Arabidopsis thaliana: one gene and its partners. The protein of the gene in region 1 purifies or fractionates together with the protein of each later gene. This does not show direct contact. Each region holds a gene or a part of one and is shown on either strand. Other genes may lie near its edges. The genes, in order: CLUB, SEC6, EXO84B and SEC15B.

Region 1 (5,037 bases):
CAAAAATATCAAAAGAAGAGAGGAAATAAGGTCGGTCAAATCAACTAACCAAAAGTAAGATAAGCGTTTCTTTAGTAACAGTATAGGCTACCTCATGAAGGGTCAAGGCCTTTGCAAAACTAATAACAAAAGAATATCCCCTAGATGCAACTTCAAATGGACGATTCAACTTGAACAACAGCTGCAAAGAACCACATAGAGGTAAGCTAATGAAAAGGTTGTAAAAGTAAAGCTACAGTTTTGAAAGGAGAAAAGGACACTGTGATCGATATGATGTCTCTTGTGTGCACCAACCCTAGATTGACAGGCAAAGAGATACTGTCTAAACTCGAATTCTCTAAAAGAATCATCTTGCACAATCTGTGTCAATGGTTTGCTTCCTGGTTTCAGCAGCACAGCTTGGTCATCTTCACCGTCGAATCCTCCAAAATCCCTCTGTTTCCCAGGCATATTAACTGCATTGAAGGTGATGCATGATAGATTATTTGTTCAGAAAAAAAAAACTTGAAAAAAGAAATCAGTTTGTTGGATGAATACTGATCCCAAATGCTTTAAGAGATAAAGATACATGTCAGGTTTGTCAAAACCTAAGAATATAAAATATAACAAATAGACAAAACATGAAATTTTTGCTGCCACGGATCTGCAAGAGAGAGATATAGAGGTAGGAAAAGAACCTGTTTCCAAATAGCAGAGCTCTAGTTCATCATATTCACGTAATGCATCTTCATGAAGATGAGCCATCTCAAATATGAAAGCCAAACTTTCCTGAGACAGCATAGAACATTATGACCTTTAAGAAAATGAGAAAAGTTTCATCAAATGTGACTGCAAGGACCAATGTTGATTTCTAAGCTTGGGGATTATTTTCATACTTCTATGGAAGAAACAAAAGGGGCACATAAATCTCCATCAGAGACTTTATTAAAAAAGTATAAAATCTAACTACAAAAAGGAAGAAACAGGATTTTAAACCATTTTATTCATTTGCGTAGAAGTCACATGTCACTTTCCATTCACAAATTGAGAAGAGAGCTAACCTTCAGGATGAAAAAGTTACAAAAGTTCCATATTGGCATAAACCGCTGCTCACTGAGCTTGCGTATCTCATCCTCGTAGAATTGTGCGCGCCTATCCAAGGTATTCCTGATGCACTCGGTAATCTTTAATTCAAGGTCCTCCCAAAAATTTCCTTCAGGGCCATGTACATCCAGCTTACAGCACCTTAAAAGCATTGCAAAAATTATCATATGAAGACTATGTATGGCATGCATAAATGAAGTAAAACTGATCAAGTAAATAAAAAGGTGTTTTAGCGTTTATCCCGTCTGCATTTCCATAAGTATATAACTTAAAGATAACTTCCTTTAAATGAGTGATTACTGCTAAATGGGTTTAGTTTATGCATCTAGCAAAAATATGAGTGATTGCAATCGTGCAAACTGTTTAACCTAATCTATTTATGTTAGAACTATAGTAGGAGCAATCAAGTCTCATTAGGAATCTGGCATGGTATTTTTTCGGTTCGTGCCTGCTTGTATCAGAGCAAAAAAACATAAACACAGTCCAATCTGCATAGCTTACCTTTCTCTCTTTTTTGAACTGAAGTCAACTTCAAGCTTCGCATATACTTTCTTGACATTTTTAGTTGCTTGATCATTACTTGGATGAGCTTTAGATACAAATACAATAAACCATTCCCTCTCATCATTCTGAACAATTAATTTCAGACGTGGTTTGAGAATGTTTTTAAACTCATCAAGATCCTGCAAGGTCAAAGGTATACTCAGAAAAGCTAGAAGAACAAAAATTGTCGAACCACATAAGTGATAAATCTAACCTAATCCAGAAACCATATACATTAGAAACGGTACCTACTATCTAAACATAGGTTCTTATCTCTTATAGAAAAGGAAAACAGAAACGAATATCATCAAGCACATCATCTTTGTTTCATATTTTGGCACGTGACTACTCTCCACTGCCAAGATTGATACAGAAAAAAAAAACACATATCATCATATCAACAAGCAAGTACCTCACATGTGACAAGAACTATAGTTGCGTATGGTTCTCGAAACCAGAACAAATACTGCTCCTGCGGGAATCGACTACGAAGCCTCGCGTCTGTAGTTAATATGAATTCAACCGGCAAGTTCTCAACAAAAACCGGATTTCGAGTCTTGTTAGTCAAGAATGCTCTTTTTAATGGCTGATGTTCTTCAAATAAACCTTTCACTGTAGGCCACAGATCACACACATCTTCCACTGTAAAAGAATATGCAAGCAACCACTATTACAACGAGCAACGGGAACAATATAAAGAGAAGACATCTTAATACTAACGAACAAGTAGAGTTTAAGATCAGAAACAAAAGAAATCATCATGATCAGTTCCCTTCAGGAATGGATGCTCATTTCTAAGCACTTTTAGCTTCATTCATGAGTATAACCTGACCAACCAACAACCTAACAGATTCATATCATCTGATTTGATCCTTCACCTACATTGAGAAACTTTCCACTAATATATAGCTATGACATCGCAAAATGTGGCAGAAAAAAAAAAGGAGAAATAAGATCCTAATCGAATGCAGCAATCGTAGAGAAACAAAACCCCTAGAAATGTACACATTTGAAAAAAATTGGGGAGAAATTCACCGGCGGCGACGAGACGATCGCAGGAATTCTTAATCGTCTGGAACTGAGCCAAGTAGTTCGCCATCTGAGTCACCGATCTATACGAATCATACGAATAACTCGATCGAATTATACAAAGAGATCAGAATTTGAGTGAGGTTTCGTCTTCTAGCTGCCAGAAAAGGAAGTGGAGGAAATCACCGACGCCGGAGATCTAGTGAATCGTCTTCTTCAAAACTATGGCGCTCAGATTTGATCCTGACCGTTGGATCACTCCTTCTATTAACTACATCTATATTAGAATGCTTGTCGTCTTTGTATATAAATAACGGCATGCAGTCTAATGTTCTATTAAAAAAACAAAAACAACGCTTCTTTCTTCTCCGTTAAGAGAAACCTCCCTCACTCCCACTTTCCGACGAACAAAAACAACATCTGAAAAAAATCATGAATCCAGCAGATTCCGATCATCCACAGCTTCCAAACATCAAGATCCATCACCCTCCATCTCCACGTCACTCTCACCATCACCACTCCTCATCTACTCCCTCCTCCGCCGCAACTCCAACACCAACCGCCGGAGCTCGTCGTAAAATCGGAGTCGCAGTTGATCTCTCCGAAGAAAGCTCTTTCGCCGTTCGTTGGGCTGTAGATCACTACATCCGTCCCGGAGACGCCGTTGTTCTTCTCCACGTTTCTCCAACCTCCGTCCTCTTCGGTGCCGATTGGGGACCTCTCCCTCTGAAAACTCAAATTGAAGATCCAAACGCTCAACCTCAACCTAGTCAAGAGGATTTTGATGCTTTTACTTCAACAAAAGTTGCGGATCTAGCTAAACCGTTGAAGGAGTTAGGGTTTCCTTATAAGATCCATATAGTGAAAGATCATGATATGAGAGAGAGATTATGTCTTGAGATTGAGAGGCTTGGTCTTAGTGCTGTGATTATGGGAAGTAGAGGTTTTGGTGCTGAGAAAAAAAGAGGAAGTGATGGCAAGCTTGGCTCTGTTAGTGATTACTGTGTTCATCACTGTGTTTGTCCTGTTGTTGTGGTTAGATATCCTGATGATCGTGATGGACCTGTGCCTATTGTTACTGTCAAGTCTGGTGGAGATGATGATGGAGATGTTGTTGCTGCTTCTGCTTCTGCTCATCATGAACACATCAAAGGTCAGGGATCAATTATCTCTATCTCTATGTGATTCAGTGATTGATTAGATAAGCTGCTTTCGTTGTTATTTTTTTCATGGATGTTTCTGTTGATGTGTCAGATTTAGATTCAGTAGTGTAGTGAGTGTTGTGAATTTTGTGATCACGTGAATATGTTGTGAAAAAGATTGCCATAGATGGTAGCACAGGAAAATGAGATCCTTTTATAGCTGAACTAAGATGATTTTGTCGATTTAGTGAGAAATGCTGTCCATGTTCATTGCCTTGCTTACCCGAAAATTGAGGATGATGGTCATGTACATAGATGATTTCCTAGCTTTAGTGTATTCGTTCTATGAATTTGTATATATCTTCTTCATCTGCCGAAACTGTTTCTATTTACTGAAGTTAGTTGTATAGTATATATCATAATTTTTGGTGGTTATGGCTAATTTGCTGTAATATATGTTAGAAGATTATTGTTCCCCTACACATGGGACAAAGAAGCGCCGACATCGTTCTATTTCTTGCATTGTTTACACTACCCATTGATTGCGTTTAGACTTTAGATTAAAAGTACTCTAGTCCAGAGGAAAGTTTCTTTTGACCCTTGAAGATAAACTTTTCTAAGTGAGTTTGTTTGATTTATTTTTCCTCTGTTCGGTTTAGTTTGAGGCAACATTAAGTATCATTAGCATCCAAGTATTATGATTCTTGACTTGGGAAAAGGCAGATAAGAAATTATGTCTTCTATAACCCCTCATTTCGTAAGTTGGTGACTGTATACTTGTTGTTGTATGAAACATTGAAAATCAAATAGTGCAGTAGTTCTAAAAAGGAAGCTTCAATTATACTTTTTGTTGTTGTTTGCTTTGGTCCAGACTAGGAAAGGTTACAATGTTAACAGAGGAAAATTTAGGAAAGAATGGGAATATGTAGGAAGAATCTGGTTAACATGCCAAAATTTTTTTTATCTATACTCTTGGGTAATGTTTAGATATCAAATCTAACTGAGATGTAGGCACTACCTTCTTACTTTTATGACAAGTTCAGATGAAAACTTGTCAAATAAAGTTACTGAGTTTCGTAGATTGCTTCTTCTGTAAGATAGTCACTGGTGTTAGTTCTGGAGCATTTGGTATACGTTACAAGATCGGAGCTACCTAGTGAATTTGTAAAAAGATCTGAATGTACACTGATAAGGTAAAAAGGCTATTATCTATAGGTTACATTTGTTATCTCCACCATAC
Region 2 (7,567 bases), on another chromosome or scaffold:
AAGTTGGACAGAAGACCATATCTTAATTCTGAAATGATTATGTTATAAAGAACACAACTATTACATTATATAACATGTAGAAAATCAATGCATATGAGAATAGTTTTATCTATTAAAAATCAATGGAAACCAGTAGCAACAGTATCAAGGAGGTGACAACGACTCGACTGCCTCTATTCACACATTAGTAAAGCTAATAGATTAGTTCTTCAGAATAGTAGATACCTTTCTGGTAAAGCTTGACAAGTAATTCCTGAACTCCTGGATCCTCAAAGATAACGCGAACTGTTTGATGCACTGCTTCCTGAAATCAAAGGACCAGATGGGACTTGTGTAAAATCCAACATAAATTTTAACTTTAAAGATCGCAAGATCAAGTTGAAATTTCATTTCAACAGCCATCTGGGCAACTGTAAGGCCATAAATCGAGATGCAAAAACTATATTTGGATTGAAGACCAGGGAGAAAAAGGAATCTTTGACGAACCTTAGCCACCTCCAAGAAACCTTTGCAAGTGTCTTCAAAATTCACCTGACAGAAACACCACATTAGAGAAGCATTTTATTAGTATGCAAACAAGAGTGTATGTGCACATAGACGTGGAGTATAGTGGGACTGAGAGTGGGCATGATGCAGTGGAATTTGACATATCCAAACAAAATAATCAATTGCAACGAAATTGAGCTCAGAAACTGGCAGCTGGATTACCTGCTCTGCATAATTTTGTGGAAGAGCTTCTAAAGTGCTATTACTTAACTCCATGGCAAGGTCGTAGCAGCGAAGGTTGTTGTTTATCTGTAGTCAATATTAACATATAAATATTCGTCTGAAAATGGGAGAAAGAAATAGTGTCATCAAAAGAGTCATATCTTTTGACATACCATAGCGCATAGAGGTTCCAGACCAATATCAGATGCAGGTTCATCAACTCTCTTCTTTTCAGCTGCTTGGAAATCAATCATAACCTGAAGTAATTCACAATATGAATCAAAATTTAGAACATGCACAATGCTACAAAAGTTACGAAATTTAAGAAGTATAAAAGTTAGACACAATGAAAGAGGGGGGAAAATAGAAAAGAGAAAAAAGGGGGTAAACGGAATTCAACGATTTTGGGTGAGATATGAAAAAAAAAGCTGGGAATGGGTAAAGTCTCCAACATTAACTTTCACGAGTCTTAGAAGAAAGCAAAGAACGATTTGAAATTTCTGAGTATATATAGTAAATAAATAGCCTGAGTAAGGAAATGGAATATTTTCAGTTCATAGCCGAACAAAGAAATGTCTTTGCAACCTCTTTAACTTGCCTGAATAATAGCTAAAGCAATCCTGTACAACATAACATCCGTGCTGTTATCTCTGACAATTTGCACTTGCTCTCCAAGTATTCTGAATAAATCTACAGCAGCCGGTGTATATAATTTTCCTTCCTCAGTTTTTTTAGGTGGTTGCACCTTATCCGCCTCTAGGATATTCATGTACCATTTCTGCAACCAAAGAATTGGCAACAAAAGTTTAAGCAAAAAGAATTATAAAAATTTTTAACGTCAAAAACTAGCAGAGTAGGTCAAACGTGTATGTCATTACCTTCGTTGTAGCTTGCATTCTTTCAACATATGCATTCATTAGAGGATCCATTGAACCGCTCTCAGAACACACTTGAGCTAGTGAATCATCAACACCAAGTGCAATCAAGTTTTCTTGGTACTCTACCACCCAACCAGTCACCTAGCAAGATCGAAGAGAGAAAGAAAAGATACATCACTCTCTAAAGGATACCTAATGCACAGAGACAAGGTAAAAAACGAATGAGGCATTTTGATGAGGCAACACAAAGACAGTCACATAATATTAGTACCCCCTCTTATAATTTCCCATGGTGTTCCCTGTCAAATAACTCGGACTAGCTTGACATTTACTTAAATATCATGCATGGTTGATTAAAAATGTCCTTGATATTCAGTCAGAAAACACAGAGCCAAAGCACCAAAAGCAGTATCTGCAAAGTTTGAGTTGCGACACAACATGGGAGAACTAAGAATCATGCTTTACATACCTTTAAAATCTCTATATTTGTCAGATCGTTTGCTCTGTCACTGAGCAATCTGAGCATTTGTATGAATCTCTCGGTATACAGGTTCACCATAAGCTGAAATATCTCGTATCTGCCAGCAAAGAAGATTGCTAAGGAACCCTTTTTCACTTGGGGAACAGAATAAATTTTAAGCTGTAATCTTTCATTGTCCACTTGAGGAAAACGAGATAGGAACAAACCTTGGAGGAAAACAAGGAGCCACATAGTCATAAATATCTCCAAGTTCCTCTCCAATCTAGTTGTGGAACACCATAAAAAGAAAGTGAAAACCCAGTTGATAAATATATATTTGTGAAAGATAACAGAAGAAAACGAGGTTGACATCAATCATTATGGAACAGGAACAGTAATATAAGACGGTCAGGCCAATTTGGAACTTTTGTATCAGAACAGTAACATACTACTAGTTCATCAACCATATTTATTAAGAACCAAAAAAAAAACTAATTCAGTCAACTAAAGGTGATCTACTGAGAAACAAAAATATATTAGATAGTTGAATATAATTTCATAAACTGCAGAAAAGAAAAAATGAAGAAAAGTGTATGAAAGCAAGGGAAACAGTCGCACAAACCATTCTAGCTTCTTCCAAAGCTGCTTTTAGATCTTCAAAGACAAGCTGTTCAATAGTTCAGTGTTAGGATGACCACACAGAGAAACACATTACTTGTAGCTATGCCATCAAATGAAATTTTCAAAAAGAAAGTCCCACCGTCAAAAGCCTGTTGAATCGATCTTCAACCGCCTTCCGAATTTGCTCGTAGCATTTGTCCTTGTAGCCTTTCCCTTGGACTTTTAATTTCTGTTGAGCAAGACCCTTTGACGACGCTGACGTTGTAGTAGATTTCCTGGATTCAACAGAATAAATATAGGACATGTCACAAATGATTATGGGGACTTTAATAAAATTCCATTGCTTTTCAGGACATTAAATCAATGCAAAATATAGCTTAGTCAAACCCCTAGTAAAAAAGTGAAAGATATTTTGAATAACAGATAAGACAACAAATCAAGACAAATACGAACAAAAAATATCAGACTCACTTGCCAGGCCTTCGAGGATTTGCTACAGATGCCATCGCACCTTCTCCCTCAGCCTCTGCTGCTTCTTCAGCAAGCTGTTGGTCTAGAATTTCTTGCATCTCAACAACCCTTTGATAGAATAAACCATTGAAAGTTAGTACCAGTTCTAGTTAACTAGTTCACTTTAAATTAGTCTACTCATTTTCTTCTGGATAGGAGACTTTGTGTTTAAGAAACTTCTAATGCCAAAATAAAATCCATGATATTGCAATGCATGTTGCATTAAAGGAAGTAAAAAGAAACAATTTGCTTGTCTAAAAATGATTGTCACAGTAACACAATGACTTCGCTGTCCTACTAAACCAGTTTGAACTGATCTTGATGCTAATCACCAGAAAATAGGTATACACTATCTTCCTTGCTAATTAAAATAGATTTGTTTGCAACAAAATTACTGAAACGTAATAATTTGGGAATATATGCCATAGACAAAGGTAAAGAATGTCTCTGGTGGGGGATCATACCTCAAAGCACGAACCAGTGTTTGCGGACTGCAGAACAAAGATACATCAGTAAGTTTAAGATAAACCAAAAGGATATGTAAGATTTGATATCTTAGCAGAATTAAGAGCTTAACAACAGGAAAATAGCTTATTTCAACATGGAGCAAAGTCTAAACGTGTACTTAATCCCCAAGGTCTGGCTAAGAACATAAAACAGAGAACAGAGCATTACATAAACTATGTATTATCATATAAATGCTCATATATAGCTACAGAATAAAGGGTACAGTCCAACTATGTCCATCTCATCTTTTGACATTGCTTGCATCCTTGATCTAACTTCCTAGCCTTACTCTTATAAAAAACCAGCAAGAATCATAGTTCTAAAATAAGGCAGTAGAAATAATTAAAAAAAATGGAATTACACGGAGAAGTTGAGCATAATCATATATTTACTCAAAATACCTTTCTTTAGAAAGTTTGTAATAGTTGGAAACATGACCCCATAGTGTCTTCTCGAATGTTTCCCATGTTCTATCAACATCTTCAAAATACTCCCTGAACCCATCAAAACAACTCTTTAGAAGTTGGTATGCATGCTCATGTAAAAAGAAAAGACAGTCCAGAGGCGGGATCAAATCATCATATGCACTACCAAAAGAGTAACAGCTCTACCTACTGCTCATTACTTTAGCATAGAGACCTATTTTCTTTCATAGCACACCAGTAACTCTTGAATTAAAGCTTTCGGGCTCACTTCATGTAAGTACAAAAAGCAAAGAAAGGAAACGAGTGGAATATATACAAACCTCAGCCTCCCAACCTCCTCTCCAGCAGCTGCTAATGCAAATCTTCGTTTACCATCAAGTGCTGTTAATCTCTATGGAAGAAAAACAGAATATTATGTCTTACACCAAACGTTCTTTTTTTCAAAGTGATGCAGTCAGAAATGCCTGGAATCCATGGGAAGAGGAACTCATGCTACCTCATAAGTGTTAACGATTTCTTTATCATCACTCAAAGAATCCCTAGCCGCAGCAGCTTCAACAGAAATTGACATCATACCTTCTACATCCTTGAAAAAAGAGAATGAGGTAAAAATAAGTTGACAAAAACTTGGAAAGCATTTAAACATCTGAGACGACCATGCAGAGCTATATATATTTGCGTTCAAGAATAAGTTAGAAGGACAACACTGAACCAAATACTGTAAGCAATACAATCAGTGCTCATCGGCATATCTACCTTTAGAGTTTTGTTTAGATTATTCCTGGCGTTACTCAGCAGCTTTATTTGGTCATGATTGTCAATCAAAGTTTGACATTCCTGACAAAGCCTGTGGCACAAGAAGAGAAGTTAGAGGGAGAGAAATGCAAAAGTTGGTAACTCAGCTTCAAGAATCTCTAGTCAAGCAAAAACATACTTGTCGATAGAAATGAAATTATCCCGCAGTTCATAAATGGTTTTCTCAGATGATGAAAGTGACTCTAACCCAGCTTGAGCTTGTTCAACCTGAAGTTTGTCAACAGCTATTACTTAAGAACAACAAAAAAGTCGAAATACATTAAAGTACAAAGAAGGCCAGATTAAAGCTGTACCTGCTCAGCAACCATAGTACTGAGCTGTGCATCATTTGCCTGATTGAAACAGCAAGCATCACTAGTCAGGTCATTAAAAATTTCCAGAAAATCGAAAATAAAAGATAACAATAGCATATCAAAACCTAACAACTCAAATCTAGCATTGCTCAGGAATCACTAATACTCAGTGCAAATGATACTTCAAAAGCCAATTCAGTTCCAATTGCAATTCAAAAGCAAGATGTCAAACCTGTTGACGAGCGATGTAATCGGCCTTGATTGAAGAAATAGACTGCAAAAGTTCAGGTAAGGGTAAGAGCTTCGCCACTTCTCGCACAGCCGCTTCCTTCGCTTCCACACCAAGATCTTCGACCATCATCTTCGCTAAATCACCTTATTTACGAACTCCGATCCTAAATTGAAGGCTACCTCTGCAAAGTTATTCAAAATTCCAGCACAATTACGATAACGCAGAGGAGAATCAAGAGATCTGGAAACAGAAACGTAGAGGAAAAATGGACGCAACCGAATAAGAAGTCATTGAGCAAATATCGAGAGCCAAATGTGCGATTCTCCAACTTCAATTACTTCGTCGTCCTCTTATCTTCTTCCTTCGCTGATTCTGAAGATCCTGGAAACAGTGATGTTGGACGCAGATCAGCTGGGAAGAGAAGCAACGATTAAATTTCTGGAACGAGTCTCATCTATCGTCTCGCGACTCTAATGGAAAGTTCGGAAACGCTGAAATTTTCCGTCTCGCCGGTTTTGATTTTTCTTTTTCTTTTTTGCCAGCTGTTGATGCAAACCTATTTTTTTTTTTTTTTTTTTTGCAAACGCTAACGCTAATTCGTTGAGCAAAACGCAAATCTTAACCCCATGCTCGGGTTCGTGTTATTTTTTATTTTTTGTTATATGTTTAATCATTTGAAATGTCACTAAAATATCATCGATTTTAAATCTTACCATAACGTATCGAATTCGAAAATATTAGTCGTAGGGGTCTGATTGGTTATCTAGCGATGTTACATACGTTTGATATTAATGGGGTTGCATATGTTTTGATAAGTTTATAATTTGACGACATGCTTTGCAAAACTTGGATGTGATATATTAGTTGTGATATCATCAAAGTTTTGCACATAACGTAGTACATGTAATATATAAGAAATAAATCGATGAGATGGATGGAATATTGAACTCGACGAAAAAGAAAAACAAAGCCTAAGAAAATGACAGCTTCCAAGTACAAACTATTTGAAAAGAAATTTGTAAAATCTCATAAATATCAATAGAATAGAGTTACAATATTTTGAAACAAATAATTATTCATCTAGAGTCCGTTTAGCGTAGAGGATAAACGGACGCACAATTTTCGACAATACATTTATATAAATATAATCAGTAGCAAAATGATAATAGTTAGGCATTAGAGTCACTAGGTAGTCTAGGTTCACAACATGGACATACCATGCGACGTAGGTAATGGCCATACAAGCACGAAGCAAGAGCTACCATAAGGACGCCCGATACCACGCCGATGTATTCTGTCAAATGATACATGTCCATCTTCTTGTTCACCACACCACCAATCTCTAATCTTTCTTAACCTTTTTTTTCGTGTACTGATTATATTTATATACATGTATCGTCGACACTAACTTTACATTTTTGTAAATATATCAGCAACATTTGGTAAGTTTACATTTTTTCATTAAGAACATACTAGAGAAAATTCGAAAGTTTACATTTAGGAAAAAATCGAAAATATATTATGTTCGAATTCTTTCTAAAATACTCCACAAACTGATATTATGATATTTACTAATTACTACTACTAGTAAAAATATATTTTAAGATATGTGTATTTCATTATTCAGCTTGTTTCAGATTTTGATGGTTTACATAAAAAGAAGAGTCATTGGTATCTAAAAGGAATAAGATCTACAGAGTTATATATCAATTACCAAATATGTGGATGTGATATATTCTTTATCTCTTTTATATATACACTAAATTTCTTTTTCTTCAAAGGAAGCATCCAAGGACAGATAAATAAACAGACAATCTACAAACTTTTTCATATGTTTTTCTTAAGTTTTAAACGTAATTATTATGAATAGTTTGGAATGATACAGTTTTAGTCACTAACCAAAAAATATGATTAGTAGCTAAATAAAGTACATTTATATGACATATAAATACTTAAAAAACGTACAAAAAGATTGGTGCCATTTGTGTGACACAGAAAATCCCAGCAAATGTCGAGAGAGAGAGAAAGTATAAAGAATGTGACCGGCAAAAAAGAGATAAAACAGTAGAGAACCATATTATTTGCCATTTCTTAGAAGAATCCACTGCATGATATTC
Region 3 (6,852 bases), 1.8 Mb from region 1:
CACATCTTCCTTGCCATGTTTTATACATTCTGAGGCTCCGAATGGTGACTGCGTTTTGCGGTGCGGAAGAAGTGCGGTGCGGTTCAAATAGGAACGAAAATACATAGATACATATGTATATGTAAAGATTTTGATACTGTTACAGCACTGTTGCGATACGGTTTTGGTTACCATTCACAGCCTGAGTATCACCACCTACTTTTGTTTGTCATCTGTCAAAACATGAATCTCAAACATGTAGAGAAGCAAAGGAGGTGTTTGCATCAATGGCGAGGGATGACTCTAGCATCTCTAAGCCTCATTCGCGAATGATTATTGCCTTATCGGGCATGCGTGGCCAAATTACCAAGCCTTTAAGGGTCCATGTGGTAGGTAACCGTCCTTACCCATTATTCAAACTTTTGTACATCCCAAGATCCGACCCACCGTACCAAGAATTAGACTAGGAGTTTACACAACACGATTTACTTAAAACTAATTTACGCTATGAACTACATGATTCGAGTAGGAAATACAAAAAGTGAATCGTAAGATATCTCATTCAAGTTTGCTACATCTGATCCAATACCAAAACAGAAAGAGAGTGTATCATAGAGAAGAAAGATCAACACTCTCTTCAATATTTTAACCCAAAGAATGCATCCATTGAGAGAGAGAGAGGACCAATACAAGAAAACAAACATGTCAACTCAACAACATTTACACGCCCCCAAAATCATCTCATCAACAACTGGAGACTCTACAAAATAGAAAGCTTTTGGAAAAGCAGAGCTGAAAAGAGAAGATCAAAAGTTATTGACCATTCACCTTCTTAACAAATGTAAGATGGGTTTGGTTTCAATAGCTGCCATGAGATCTCGCTGATGAAACAGACTGAGCTGACACTGAAGCAGTCGGACTGTGGACATCCCCGTTGTTGCCCTTTGTCTTGCCACTCAATCTTTCCATCGCATCCACACATATGTCATTGAACCAATCGTCTTCTGGCAGCTCACTGCACATCATTCACAACCACATTTTAATCATTTATACTTACCATAAAGGCTAAAACATTGCAAAACACCCTCAAAACCGATGTACCTATATGGATCTATCCCTGTTGCGGTGAAAGCTGCTAAGGCTTTAGATATTATCTCATTAGTTCCCCTGTGCAAATTCCTCGATAGGTAGCGACCTTGGGATGCAAAGCATATGACAAACTTCATGTCCAAATACAGCTGTGACAGATGCAGGTTGTTTGTTAACAAAGGTACACAACAATTTCGATGCTCGCTGAATATACATATACAGAAGCAAGAATGAGTGTACAAACCTGCCGTAGGCCAAGAGGTCCCAAAGGTCGAGGACCTTCCTCAATGTCATCCCAAAAGCTCTGGTCTCCAGAAAGCCATAAGATCACAGTCTCTGTTAATCGCATCAACAAAGATATGGCGAATCTTTCTCTTCCTACAAACATATCTGCTGCTAGACTTGCCATCCTGTTAAGTTTGGCAAAAAGTTCCTGTTTTCCAACGACGCAACACCCAAAGTATAAGAATATTAAGCTAAAAAAGACAGAAAAAAATCATGTTCTTGAAGTGGACAGTAGACTATGACAAACATGGATTCAACTCTACAGTATCCAATCTGCCGATAAGAGTTCCCAAGTGACTACACATCTGGGTACAGTACTTCATAAAGGCTAACTGGACTGATGGAAATGAAACAACAACTACCTGGAATATCAGAGATGGAAAGAAGTCCACATCCTCGCCATTTTCATCTATGTTTACGTACATATCCGCAGACAGATGGCTATCTCCTTCCTCAGTAAAAATGAGATCCAAGGCATGCTGGCGACAAAACGCATCTTTTAACTTGTCAACAGTACTAAGTAAACGCCTCTTCCATTCTCGTTGTTCAGGATTACGATTTTGTCTGTCCAAAGGTCTCCTTAGGTCGTCTGTCCTCTGACCAGTCTGATCAAGAGAGAGTTTCATGGCAGCACGTGGAAGTAATTCATCCGCTAGCAATGATGCATTTGCGAGTAATGCAAGTTGGTTTGCCTCCGTCTCAGCCATTTGGACAATCTTATTACATGAACTTTCAAAATTTGGATCTTCTTCTTCTATCGAACCAGGAAGTGCTCTTACCAGCACATCTACATATGAGTTAAACACCCGAAACAGACCTTCCAGAGCTTTACTTCCCAATTGCATACTTAGCAGAGGTCCTACGTCCTCAAAGAAGTCCTGCAACAAAATACCATTATCAAAAGGATCTACTTGACAAATACATCCAAAGTTCATGACAGTCCACTTGGGAATCCTCTGCCTATCAGAGCAGCTAAGACAGAATTGGTACTGCCTAGAGTTTATAATAACTTTTCAGTGGGAACGCGAGTGCAAGTTCTAATCAATCGTCATCAACGATGGCTAGTCAATTTTACAGCTGATGTGTAAACTCATATTATAAGCAATTTTCATGGGATACTGGCATATCTAAGAGACACACCAGACGTCTAAGAGTGAAAAATATTTCATTTTTCTAGGCATGTCTGCATTTCCTAAGCACTTTATTTTTCTAGCACAACTTTAGAAAAAGGCTGAAAATTTCGGAGAAAAGTGTTTGTCAAGATAGTCTACCTGGACCATGAGATTAAACCGGTGGGCACTGGATGTAAGCTTATTCTGAAATGCTGTACTAGCATGACGACTACCAGCAGGAGGACTTGTCAGTACCCAATCATCTGCAGCAGCCATAGCTGCAGTGTTTTCTTCAATTCGCTTAAGATTTGCCTCCAATGCCTGTTCCACAATAGGCTTAAAGTGCTTTAAAAGCACTGGGCAAAGGGACAAACCACGAGCTTCCAACAAAGAACAATGCCCAAGAGCTATCTGTGCACACTCTGCGGCAGCTCTTAGTCCTCCCGCTGCTGCAGAAGAAGCTAATGCATGCCTTTTAACAAGAAGGGAAAACGCCTCTGTTTGCTTAGTAGCCCAAGTCACAAGTTCAGAACTATATGCTGGCTCTTTCCCAAAGATTCCCAATGAGTCACTAGAAGCTTGAGAGATAGCTGAGAACACAAGCTGAGAAAGTGCAGCAGTGTACGCCCCTCCATATGAGGTGCTAGAAGGACGAAGACTTTGCATGTTGTATTGATATCTCTGGAAATGGGCATCAAGAAGTACAGTATGGGCTCGAGGACCATCGCCAAGCCTTTTGAGAGCTGCTATGGCTGACCGAAGTTCCCCACCTCGAGTTGAAGGTTGACAAGCAGCCTTGGCAAGTTGGTCAGCTAATTTTTGCTTGCGTTCGGCAATAGCAAACTGAAGAGATGAAAGTACAGAAGAGCTTAAAGTATGCTTTTCGTTTGCTTGAGATACTAAAATTTCTCCCTCATCAAAAGCTGCCAGAGCTTCATCCACCCTTCTTTCAGCTAATAAAGCATCAAGGTGGTCAGGAAATTCCGTAGCCCATTTCTCCAGATCAGAGAGGCCGTTGTCCTCAAAATTCAATAAACCATTCGCAAGAGATTCATCAGAAACTTTATCGTCATCAATGTTAACTCCATCTGCTAAGCCATGGATTAGAGTCGCCTGAGTGGAGAGAAGATTTCTGATAGATGATAGCTCCCCCTCAAGATCTGATATCTCTTTAGATGTGCTGCACAGAACAGAAAAAAGTTTAATTTTCAAAATAACACACCGCCAAGAAAAAACAATAAGGTAGTGCGAGGAAAAAGAAGTCATATGCAAAACGCAAATGCACCAATACCCACAAGAAATGAAATAACTTGAAAAAGTAGAGCTTTATTATCACATCAACTTCAAAGAAAATAACCAAGCACTAAAAACAGACAGGATATCAGCTAACCGTATAAAGGCTGGATAATTAGCATAAACACTTCGCCGCATTTCTTCAGCAGATGCTCTCTTCAAATCCAATAGATACGAGCATAACTGCTTTATATCCTGTGAACCGAACAGAAATATGTCATCATCCCAAAATAACTGAGAAAAAACAAAGAGTCCAGCCAAGTAATCCAACAATCTATGTTAACCAAATCAAACACTACTCTTTTTGTAGTAAACTCTAGAAGGCCTAAACTAACTTTTCCCTCAGCTCTCTCACACCATCACAGAAAGTGACTACACAGACGAGACACCCTTTATACCCAATACCATAACCGAATTGAATCTTTTCTGTAACAGAAAACGAGAACAACAGATTCTGTCTCTGATACAAGACATAGTCATCCATGTATATTCACATGAGCTACATTCTGTATTACACTGAACACATCATTTGGCAAGCTAAAAGCTTATAAATGGGTACTAAACCTATCAGCATTTCTTAAGAGTAACATTTTTACATAATCATAATTCACAAACTGCCTTCAAACTCCAGAAGATCACAAGAACAACCATACAAGCAATGAGTATTGTTACATTGCTCATCATCTTCTCGAGCGTATAAAATCTGCTGCTACCTAATATCCATTCCACAATTACGATTTCCTACAGCTAAAACGAAATGCAACAAAACAAGAACACTGCGATGATACAATCCCAAATCTACGAACAAGTCCCCACAGACTCAGTCCTAGAAAATTCTCACTCGTGATAACAACAAATCAACGAGAATAAGAACACGAAATGATAAAAGAACAGAAAAAAACCTTCTCGTTGATAGAACATTTGGATTGCACATAAGCATCAGCATCGAACTTATCAGACTTGAACAGACTCAATCCTTCCTCGACTCTGACACCATTTTCCTTCGTCGGCGTAGCTTTTGATCTGGCCGTCTTCGCCGCCATCGTTAAACTTGCCTGTCTTCTCAGAGAAAACCTAAAATTTCACAGCGGTTCCAGATCAGCAATCCCAGTGATGCCGGTAATGTTACCGGAGAATTAAGCACAGATCTGAGGGAGCTCCTAGATACGGAGAGCAGATAGAGAAAGTGGGTAGAAGAAGATGATGATCGAGTTGGCAACCAGAGCGATTTAGCCAACGACGGTAGCTTGGCTTTTTCGTCTGCTTAAACAAACGAATTTTCTTGTTGAAAACTAATAAATAAAATAACGACTCTGGGTTTTTTTTACTGGATTTTTTACTAGTAAACGGCAAAACAGAAACCCTCTCATTTGCACGGAGGCTTTCCTTTATCCTTCACCTCTGCCATCACTTGAGCTAAACCGACGCCGTTTTAAAGAATGCTTACTTTAAGATTGCCGTTAATGTAAATCTGAGCAAAAACCTTTGAAGAATCATATCATCGAGACAACAGAGAGAGATGTTTTGTAGCTTATCCATTTCCAGATTTGTCTCGAGGAAGACAATAACATCATCATCTCTTCTCTCTCGCAGTTTCAGATTCCTTCTCTCCGTTGATTCTCCTCCTCACATCCCTCTTCTACGCCCTTCTTCCAACACCCTAATCCCTTCCTCTTCCTTCTCCCGCCGTATTTGGGACTCCTGCAGCGGCGGCGGCGGAGGTGGCGGCGGAGATGATTATGATCACATCAGAAGTGACGTCAATTGTCCTCGTTGCTCTGCTCAGATGCACGTCATCTTCTCAAATCGTCCATTGTCTCTAACAGCAAGAGAACCAGGGATCTATCAAGCTGTTAATTTCTGTTCTCAATGCAAAACAGCTTTTTACTTTAGACCATTCAAGCTCTCTCCTTTACAAGGGAGTTTTATTGAACTCGGGAAAGTTAAAGGAACTGATGATGACCATGATGATGATGATGATGATCAGAAATCTTTCCCTAGGAATTGGAAAATTCAAGGTCTTAGAAGCGATGAAGATGGTGAGGATGCTGATGAGGAGGAGGATGAAAGTAATGGTGGTGATAAAGAGAAGCAATCTGTGATTAAGCTTCCAACTCCTAAGGAAATTTGTCAAGGGCTTGATGAGTTTGTCATTGGTCAAGAGAAGGCTAAGAAGGTTTGGTTTCGGTCCCTAGCTTCTTCTTCTTTGTGTCTAAATTAGATTCTTGTTTACATATCTTTCCTTTTGTGCAGGTTCTTTCTGTGGCTGTTTATAATCATTACAAAAGAATATATCATGCTTCTAGGAAAAAAGGGTTTGTCTTCTTCCATGCTCTTATCATTCTGATACTTTATATGGGATACAACAAAGCTCGATTCTTTTGCTCTTTTTTTAATAACAGGTCTGCTTCAGAATCATATAACATTGATATGGAGGATGATAATATTGATCACGTGGAGTTGGATAAGAGTAATGTGTTGTTGCTTGGTCCTACTGGTTCAGGTGCATATTGTTGCTTGCCATATTGTTTTGGAGAGTATTTGGAGATACTGTTTAGTATGATAATGATCTTGGCCTTTATGTTTCTTGCTTGGTTATAAGAACAGGAAAGACTTTACTGGCAAAAACTTTGGCGCGTATTGTCAATGTGCCATTCGCTATTGCTGATGCGACTTCACTAACTCAGGCAAGTTGTTTCACTTATCCCTCTTAAGGTTTGGGTACTCAGAACATTAGTATGTTGTACATTAGGGAAGCATTAGGCCCACTAGGATGGATGCCTTACAATCCCTCATTTCGAAAAATATTTTGAATGAAGTGATGATGTTTTTCTTGCTTTTTAGAGGAATCTTAACACAAGTCTTGCTCTTAGCATAACTAAACTACTCTTCTTGTCCAGGCAGGTTATGTTGGTGAAGATGTGGAATCAATATTGTACAAACTATATGTGGTATGTCTTACTATCACCTCATATTATGTCTCTGGTTTTACATATTTGTTTATACCTTCATTTGTAATATAATCTTAACAACTGCTTACGAAATAGTTTTTCGCTGACTACGTCTGAAACTACAAATGTACTTTGTTCCTGTC
Region 4 (5,116 bases), on another chromosome or scaffold:
ATTAGCAGCCGGAAAACTCGCCGACGCGATTCCGACGGAGAAGTCGAGATCGGCGCCGTCAAGAGACACTTCAGCAATATTAACCCAGAAGAAAAGAACCTTAACACTAACTCCTTTCAGATTCTTGACATGACCGGGTGATATAACGCCGGAGATAGTTGATTTGTACTTGAGCTGGTAGGATTGGATGGTGAATTCACACGTGTCATTGAAGTAGACTTTGAAGTTGCCTGTTTTTGGGTTAAGCTCATAGTCAACCACTCCTTTTGGGAGGATTCCTGGTGGTAAGTTATAGAGTTTGACGGCGTCGTAAGCGGTTGGCTTTTGGCCGGAGACGGCGAAAGAGACAGTGAAGAATAGAAAGAAGACGATAGAACAAGTATTCGCGTCTAGCGACATGGTTCTTTACTTCTTTAAGTTTTGCTCTTATGATTCGTGTCTAATTTAGCATAAGCTTTGAAGTGTCTCATTAAGTACAGAAGACGAAAACAGTTGTTAGGTGTTTGTGTGTTCTGGACTGTCTGATGAAGAGACCATGCAAATTAGATGTACGGTGACGATTTGATTGACAGAGAGAGCACACGTGTTAATAGGGAAAAACGACGATCACGTGGTAACCAAACCAACCTTGATTGAAATAAAGAAACTCAGCCAAGTTTGCATTCCACTGGACTGATTTTACTATTTCATGATCGTAACTAAAACCGTACTAAGGATCCGATTGATGACTTAATGCGGTAAAAAGCTACGGCATAGTGAAAGGCTGCAGTGACATGAACTTTGCAATTCAAAATCAAACTATTGAACTCATTAACGAAAATGCTATTAATGGAAGAAGAAAAAAAAAAAAAAACAATATTGGGGTGAAATCAGTTTTAGTGTTTTTTTTTTTGCCTTTCTTTTTGAGAGACCAACGAATCATCAACAATGAAATACAAAGCAATCATATAATTAACACAAAGGACGGGATCGTACTTACGTTTTGGGTTTGTGCTGGGATCCATCATCAGCTCACATCTTTCAATCTCTTTATCAACGCATCTAAAGATTTGTTCTTCGGGTTTTGCCTCGACCCTCTTGTTCCAAAAGTCCCGAAAATACTATCTGATGGATCTCTGAATTTCTCTGAAACCGTGGCTACTTTCCGGTAATCCAAAGCATTGTAGCTTCTTTCTCTGATCACCGGGTTTACAAAATTCTCAGGATGACTACTCAGAAGTAAATTGATCATCTGTCTTATCTCGACAAACGCTTTTTTCATCTCTCTTGCTTCTTTATCCGTGAGCAATGGAGTTAGGTTCTCTGTAAACGAGTCCAACAACTGAATATCCACATCAAGTCCTTTGATTGCAGCCATGCTCAATCTTTTTACTAGATCCCCGCATAACGTTCCAACGATTTTCTCAGAAATGTGAGCAAGGACATCACGCAAAACCCTTTTCAAGACTTTAGCGGGTAAGATCTGTTGTGCGGTGGAAACCAAAGTTTCCAAGTAGATCAACACTTCGTTCATGTACTCATTCCCACCTTGTGGTATATCGTCGCTTGTCCAATTGACATTCTCGAGTAATGTCATGAAACCATCTATCTTCTTCTTAAGCATTCCTGAGAGTGTATCTTCTGCAGTGTTTTGAGATTTCGTCAATGGGAAATGCCTCCTACCTCTCTCCGCCATTCTCAAAGGAACTCCTGAAAGATGTGCAGCGTGACGGAAGAAGAAATCGCAAGCTCGTTCAAATACGGCCATGTTTGCTGCAACTTGCATTGCCTGAGAAACTCCATGAACCGACGTGCTAATCAGCTTCAACAGAGCCTCATCGAGAACCTCGCCTAGAAGCCTATCCAGATACTTCTTCACTACATCATAGAAATCAAGCTGACCTCCGTGAGACATGAAACTAACCGAATCCTCGATAAAAGACCTCACAATCCGGCAACAATCTGGGACGGTGGTCGAAAATGGAGCAATGAAAGGGAATGCCGGTACTATTTCTGATGTTTGTAACTGGAAAGAGAGCACATTCATGGAATACTCATATTCTTTCTTCATCAACATCTGCTCAAACTTATCTGCTGATAAAGCTTCTGTGATCTGTTTACGGCAATCAGATAGTAACAACTCATGATACTTGTCCCTGTGCTTGCTTAATACTTCGAGAAGGGAATCAACAGCATAGCCATACCTGCGTAGACTCACCCCCAACAAGCTCACATAATCCTTAATCAGTAAGAGATGATTAGCCGTCTGCATTCTAGAGAACTGATCCTCCAACACAGCACACATCTTAGTAACAGCAGTATCCCACAAAGTCTCCACTTCCAGCTTCGAAATCAACCCTCCTCCAGTCCTTAAAACTCTATCCTCTACTATGAAAAACCCAGCAATCTGTGCGAAAAACGTCTGATGTGACTCGAGAAACGGAGTCATAGTAGATACCTGGAAGTCAGAGGTAAGCTGAAGATCCCTATTGTTATAATAGTACTGCTTAAAAGTATCCCCAAGAGATAGTGTCTGATGAATGTGATAAGCTCTATAAAGTGGTGTCAAATCAAAACCTAGCAATCCACCTCCGGAACTACCACCATCGCTGCCTTCATGGCCAGAACCAAATTCATCATCCTCTTCTTCGTTTAGCGCATAAACGCAATCGCGTAGACTAAGTCTACTCTGCTCCTCCGCTTGTCTCTGCTTGATCCTGAGCTCCTCCTCTCGCTGACGAGCCGCGGAAGCTTCACCAATAGCCAACTGACCTAAATTCCGACTCACCACACGGATCTCAACCAACCAATCTCCAAACTCCTTATTCACTTTCCTCTCCACATAAGATCGAATCGCCGGAATCCTATTCTCAAGCATCCGTTTCAGCGTTGACGAAGGAGTTTTCTCCATGAAATCACTCTCAATCGAGTCCACACATTTCAACGCCATGTAGAAATTACCGCTCTGAAGATGCTGATTAGCTCGAGAGACAAGTTCCATAACACGAACACAATGAGTCACCGCTCCAATCGCCAGATCGACGTTCTTAGACACAGTCTGAGCCTCAACAAGCGAATCGAGAGACGAAAGAAGCGGCGCCGCAACAGATTGGAGTTTAGAGTTTGAATCGGAAAGCGCAGATTTAAGCGATTCAACATCTGAGAGAAGCGATTTAAGATCGTCTACGGCGTGGATAAAGTCTTGATAGTGAGCTTTACATACCTCTTCGATCTCTGATTCCTTAGATCGTGCGAAAAACTTGAGATGGTGAAGAAGAGTCTCTGGTTTCCCTGTACCGAAAGTTTTCCGAACAAATGGTCCTAAATCTTCACCGTTACAAATGGCAGACGATATCAAGAGCTCGTCGAGCTTCTCCGCCGAATCTATACCGGCTCCGGCGGTTGTGGAGCCAACTTTCCGCCGTCCTTTCGACGATTGCATTGTTTTATCTCCGATTAGGTATAAAGCGTTACAGCGAAGAAGAAGGAGGAATTTTGGATTTGGGACAACGAAACTGATTTGGTGGTTTTTTCTTCAAAGGGAGCTCGAATTTTGGGGTTTGACTAAAATGACATTGCTGTAGAAGCGGTGCGACGGAAGAAGACGAGGGTGTGTTTGTCTTTTCAAGCTGCGTAGTGGTTTTTTCTTCTGACTGGCGTCTTCAATTAATTGTGAATATTTGTCAAACTGAGTTTTACGCGTCACAGGCGCGTGGTCGAACGCGCTTTAGATTTTGTTGAAAATATCCACTGCCAAAAAATTAATACACCAATTCTGTTGACAAAAAAAAAACATTGGTATTATATATTTTATTGAATTTATTCAGTTGGTAGGTATAAATGTCCTTAGTAGATTTATAATTTTTGATAAAATTGTACATATATTTCAGTTTTTTGATATTAATTTCACCTAAAAAAAATCATCTATGCTTAATTGAAGTTTTCTAGAAACCATAGGAATTCAACATTTTGAAAATTAATTTGGACATAAGAAAAGTTTAAGGATATATTGAACTGGAGATGGCCAACATTTGAGAAATTATTTGTTCTATTATTATATTTTGCTAAATTATTAAACAAGCACAATACACAGATAGCATCCTTGAAAACATTACATAGTAGGGCTCTAAGACAGTAAGTAACCCTGATCAAGCTTAATCAACCTTGAATTTGACATTGTGCAGACGGAGAACTACTACAAGGATGCGGTTTCGCGGGTTCTGAATTTCTTGAAGAAGCCATAGATATGGTCAGTGACCTCGTCAGGCTTCTCTTGATGGAGGAAGTGACCTACACCTTCCATTACCACCACTTCTTGTAGAAAAGGTACGTGCTTCTTCAAACCACCTTCATGTATGTATTCCTTTGTTCCGGGGATATTGTATGTTATGTCTAGATCACCCACTATGAATTTCACAGGGACTTTGATTTGTAGACCGGTCCATGGAGCTGTTAGTTCCCAGCTTCTGCAGGTTAGGATAAGACCAGATTGATTCAAGTCCAAGATTAACCATGAAAAGATGATTGTATGATGTAGAATAGGTGGCTAGAATTCATAAGACTTACAGGTTCAGGGCGCGATAGTAGTTTAGCCCACCGGTGAAGCCTTTTTGGCTAAACTTGTCTCCGTAGAACCTGACATCTTGTTCGGTGAGCCAAGCGGGCAAAGAAGGTGGATCAGGTAAACCTCTGAAACCAACTGACTTTGGAATGCAAGGTGGACGTGGGTTACGCGAAGTGAAAAATCTGGTTATTAACTTTTTTGTATCAACTTGAGCAAAGTCCTCTTCGATCTCTCCAGGCTCCTGAGAAAAAAGAAACTCAAAATCTTTAGTAGGACCAACTTAAGCAATTGAAGACCACAAGACTGATCCAACTACATTTACTTAAAGCAAGTAACTCAAATAAAGTAAATGACTTTGACTTTGACTGCACTATATTAAAGTAAGCACTAATTGCCTTTTTCTAATCATCAATAGCAACTTGCATTATCAGAGTCAGAGCCTGAGCTAAGTTCAGCTATGTATAGGTAGGTGGCTGGTCTCTGTTTCTATAGACACAAACAGAAACTAATAGTGGCTAAGAAATTTCTCATTGTGTATACATTTACACATAAAAAGCTCAACTTTCTTGAAGC

What was found.
Region 2: the proteins of CLUB (region 1) and SEC6 purify together in Arabidopsis thaliana (affinity purification with western blotting; one study listed by BioGRID). This does not show direct contact.
Region 3: the proteins of CLUB (region 1) and EXO84B purify together in Arabidopsis thaliana (affinity purification with western blotting; one study listed by BioGRID). This does not show direct contact.
Region 4: the proteins of CLUB (region 1) and SEC15B purify together in Arabidopsis thaliana (affinity purification with mass spectrometry, with the first as the bait; one study listed by BioGRID). This does not show direct contact.

What each region holds. Positions count from the first base shown.
Region 1 is NC_003076.8:22,097,744-22,102,780, reverse strand, and holds the start of CLUB (CLUB), read right to left. Parts: upstream 3,018-5,037; 5' UTR 2,726-3,017; coding exon 2,662-2,725; intron 2,269-2,661; coding exon 2,039-2,268; intron 1,767-2,038; coding exon 1,585-1,766; intron 1,225-1,584; coding exon 1,041-1,224; intron 769-1,040; coding exon 678-768; intron 456-677; coding exon 295-455; intron 182-294; coding exon 92-181; intron 1-91. Other genes in the region: PHOS32 (Adenine nucleotide alpha hydrolases-like superfamily protein), read left to right, coding at 3,088-3,808, 4,899-4,954. UniProt on the Arabidopsis thaliana protein: Specific subunit of the TRAPP II complex, a highly conserved vesicle tethering complex that is required for the proper transport of proteins in post-Golgi trafficking pathways to the growing cell plate in mitotic active cells.
Region 2 is NC_003070.9:27,008,034-27,015,600, reverse strand, and holds the start of SEC6 (SEC6), read right to left. Parts: upstream 6,038-7,567; 5' UTR 5,727-6,037; intron 5,632-5,726; 5' UTR 5,580-5,631; coding exon 5,451-5,579; intron 5,258-5,450; coding exon 5,219-5,257; intron 5,133-5,218; coding exon 5,044-5,132; intron 4,957-5,043; coding exon 4,866-4,956; intron 4,696-4,865; coding exon 4,606-4,695; intron 4,501-4,605; coding exon 4,430-4,500; intron 4,179-4,429; coding exon 4,086-4,178; intron 3,732-4,085; coding exon 3,573-3,731; intron 3,247-3,572; coding exon 3,139-3,246; intron 2,943-3,138; coding exon 2,807-2,942; intron 2,714-2,806; coding exon 2,669-2,713; intron 2,330-2,668; coding exon 2,274-2,329; intron 2,165-2,273; coding exon 2,056-2,164; intron 1,728-2,055; coding exon 1,587-1,727; intron 1,487-1,586; coding exon 1,373-1,486; coding exon of another isoform or gene 1,307-1,372; intron 966-1,306; coding exon 882-965; intron 796-881; coding exon 709-795; intron 532-708; coding exon 487-531; and 3 more. UniProt on the Arabidopsis thaliana protein: Component of the exocyst complex involved in the docking of exocytic vesicles with fusion sites on the plasma membrane during regulated or polarized secretion. Involved in polarized cell growth and organ morphogenesis.
Region 3 is NC_003076.8:20,249,966-20,256,817, forward strand, and holds EXO84B (exocyst complex component 84B), read right to left. Parts: upstream 5,075-6,852; 5' UTR 4,802-5,074; coding exon 4,661-4,801; intron 4,500-4,660; coding exon 4,385-4,499; intron 4,185-4,384; coding exon 4,114-4,184; intron 3,954-4,113; coding exon 3,856-3,953; intron 3,646-3,855; coding exon 2,625-3,645; intron 2,232-2,624; coding exon 1,716-2,231; intron 1,502-1,715; coding exon 1,313-1,501; intron 1,218-1,312; coding exon 1,081-1,217; intron 995-1,080; coding exon 838-994; 3' UTR 521-837; downstream 1-520. Other genes in the region: AT5G49840 (ATP-dependent Clp protease), read left to right, coding at 5,278-5,934, 6,012-6,073, 6,161-6,261, 6,366-6,445, 6,659-6,709. UniProt on the Arabidopsis thaliana protein: Component of the exocyst complex involved in the docking of exocytic vesicles with fusion sites on the plasma membrane during regulated or polarized secretion. Involved in polarized cell growth and organ morphogenesis.
Region 4 is NC_003075.7:1,036,462-1,041,577, reverse strand, and holds SEC15B (exocyst complex component sec15B), read right to left. Parts: upstream 3,465-5,116; 5' UTR 3,422-3,464; coding exon 2,438-3,421; intron 2,387-2,437; coding exon 1,007-2,386; 3' UTR 980-1,006; exon of another isoform or gene 804-979; intron 764-803; 3' UTR 514-763; downstream 1-513. Other genes in the region: AT4G02360 (transmembrane protein, putative (Protein of unknown function, DUF538)), read right to left, coding at 1-399; AT4G02340 (alpha/beta-Hydrolases superfamily protein), read right to left, coding at 4,175-4,445, 4,546-4,784. UniProt on the Arabidopsis thaliana protein: Component of the exocyst complex involved in the docking of exocytic vesicles with fusion sites on the plasma membrane during regulated or polarized secretion. Involved in polarized cell growth and organ morphogenesis.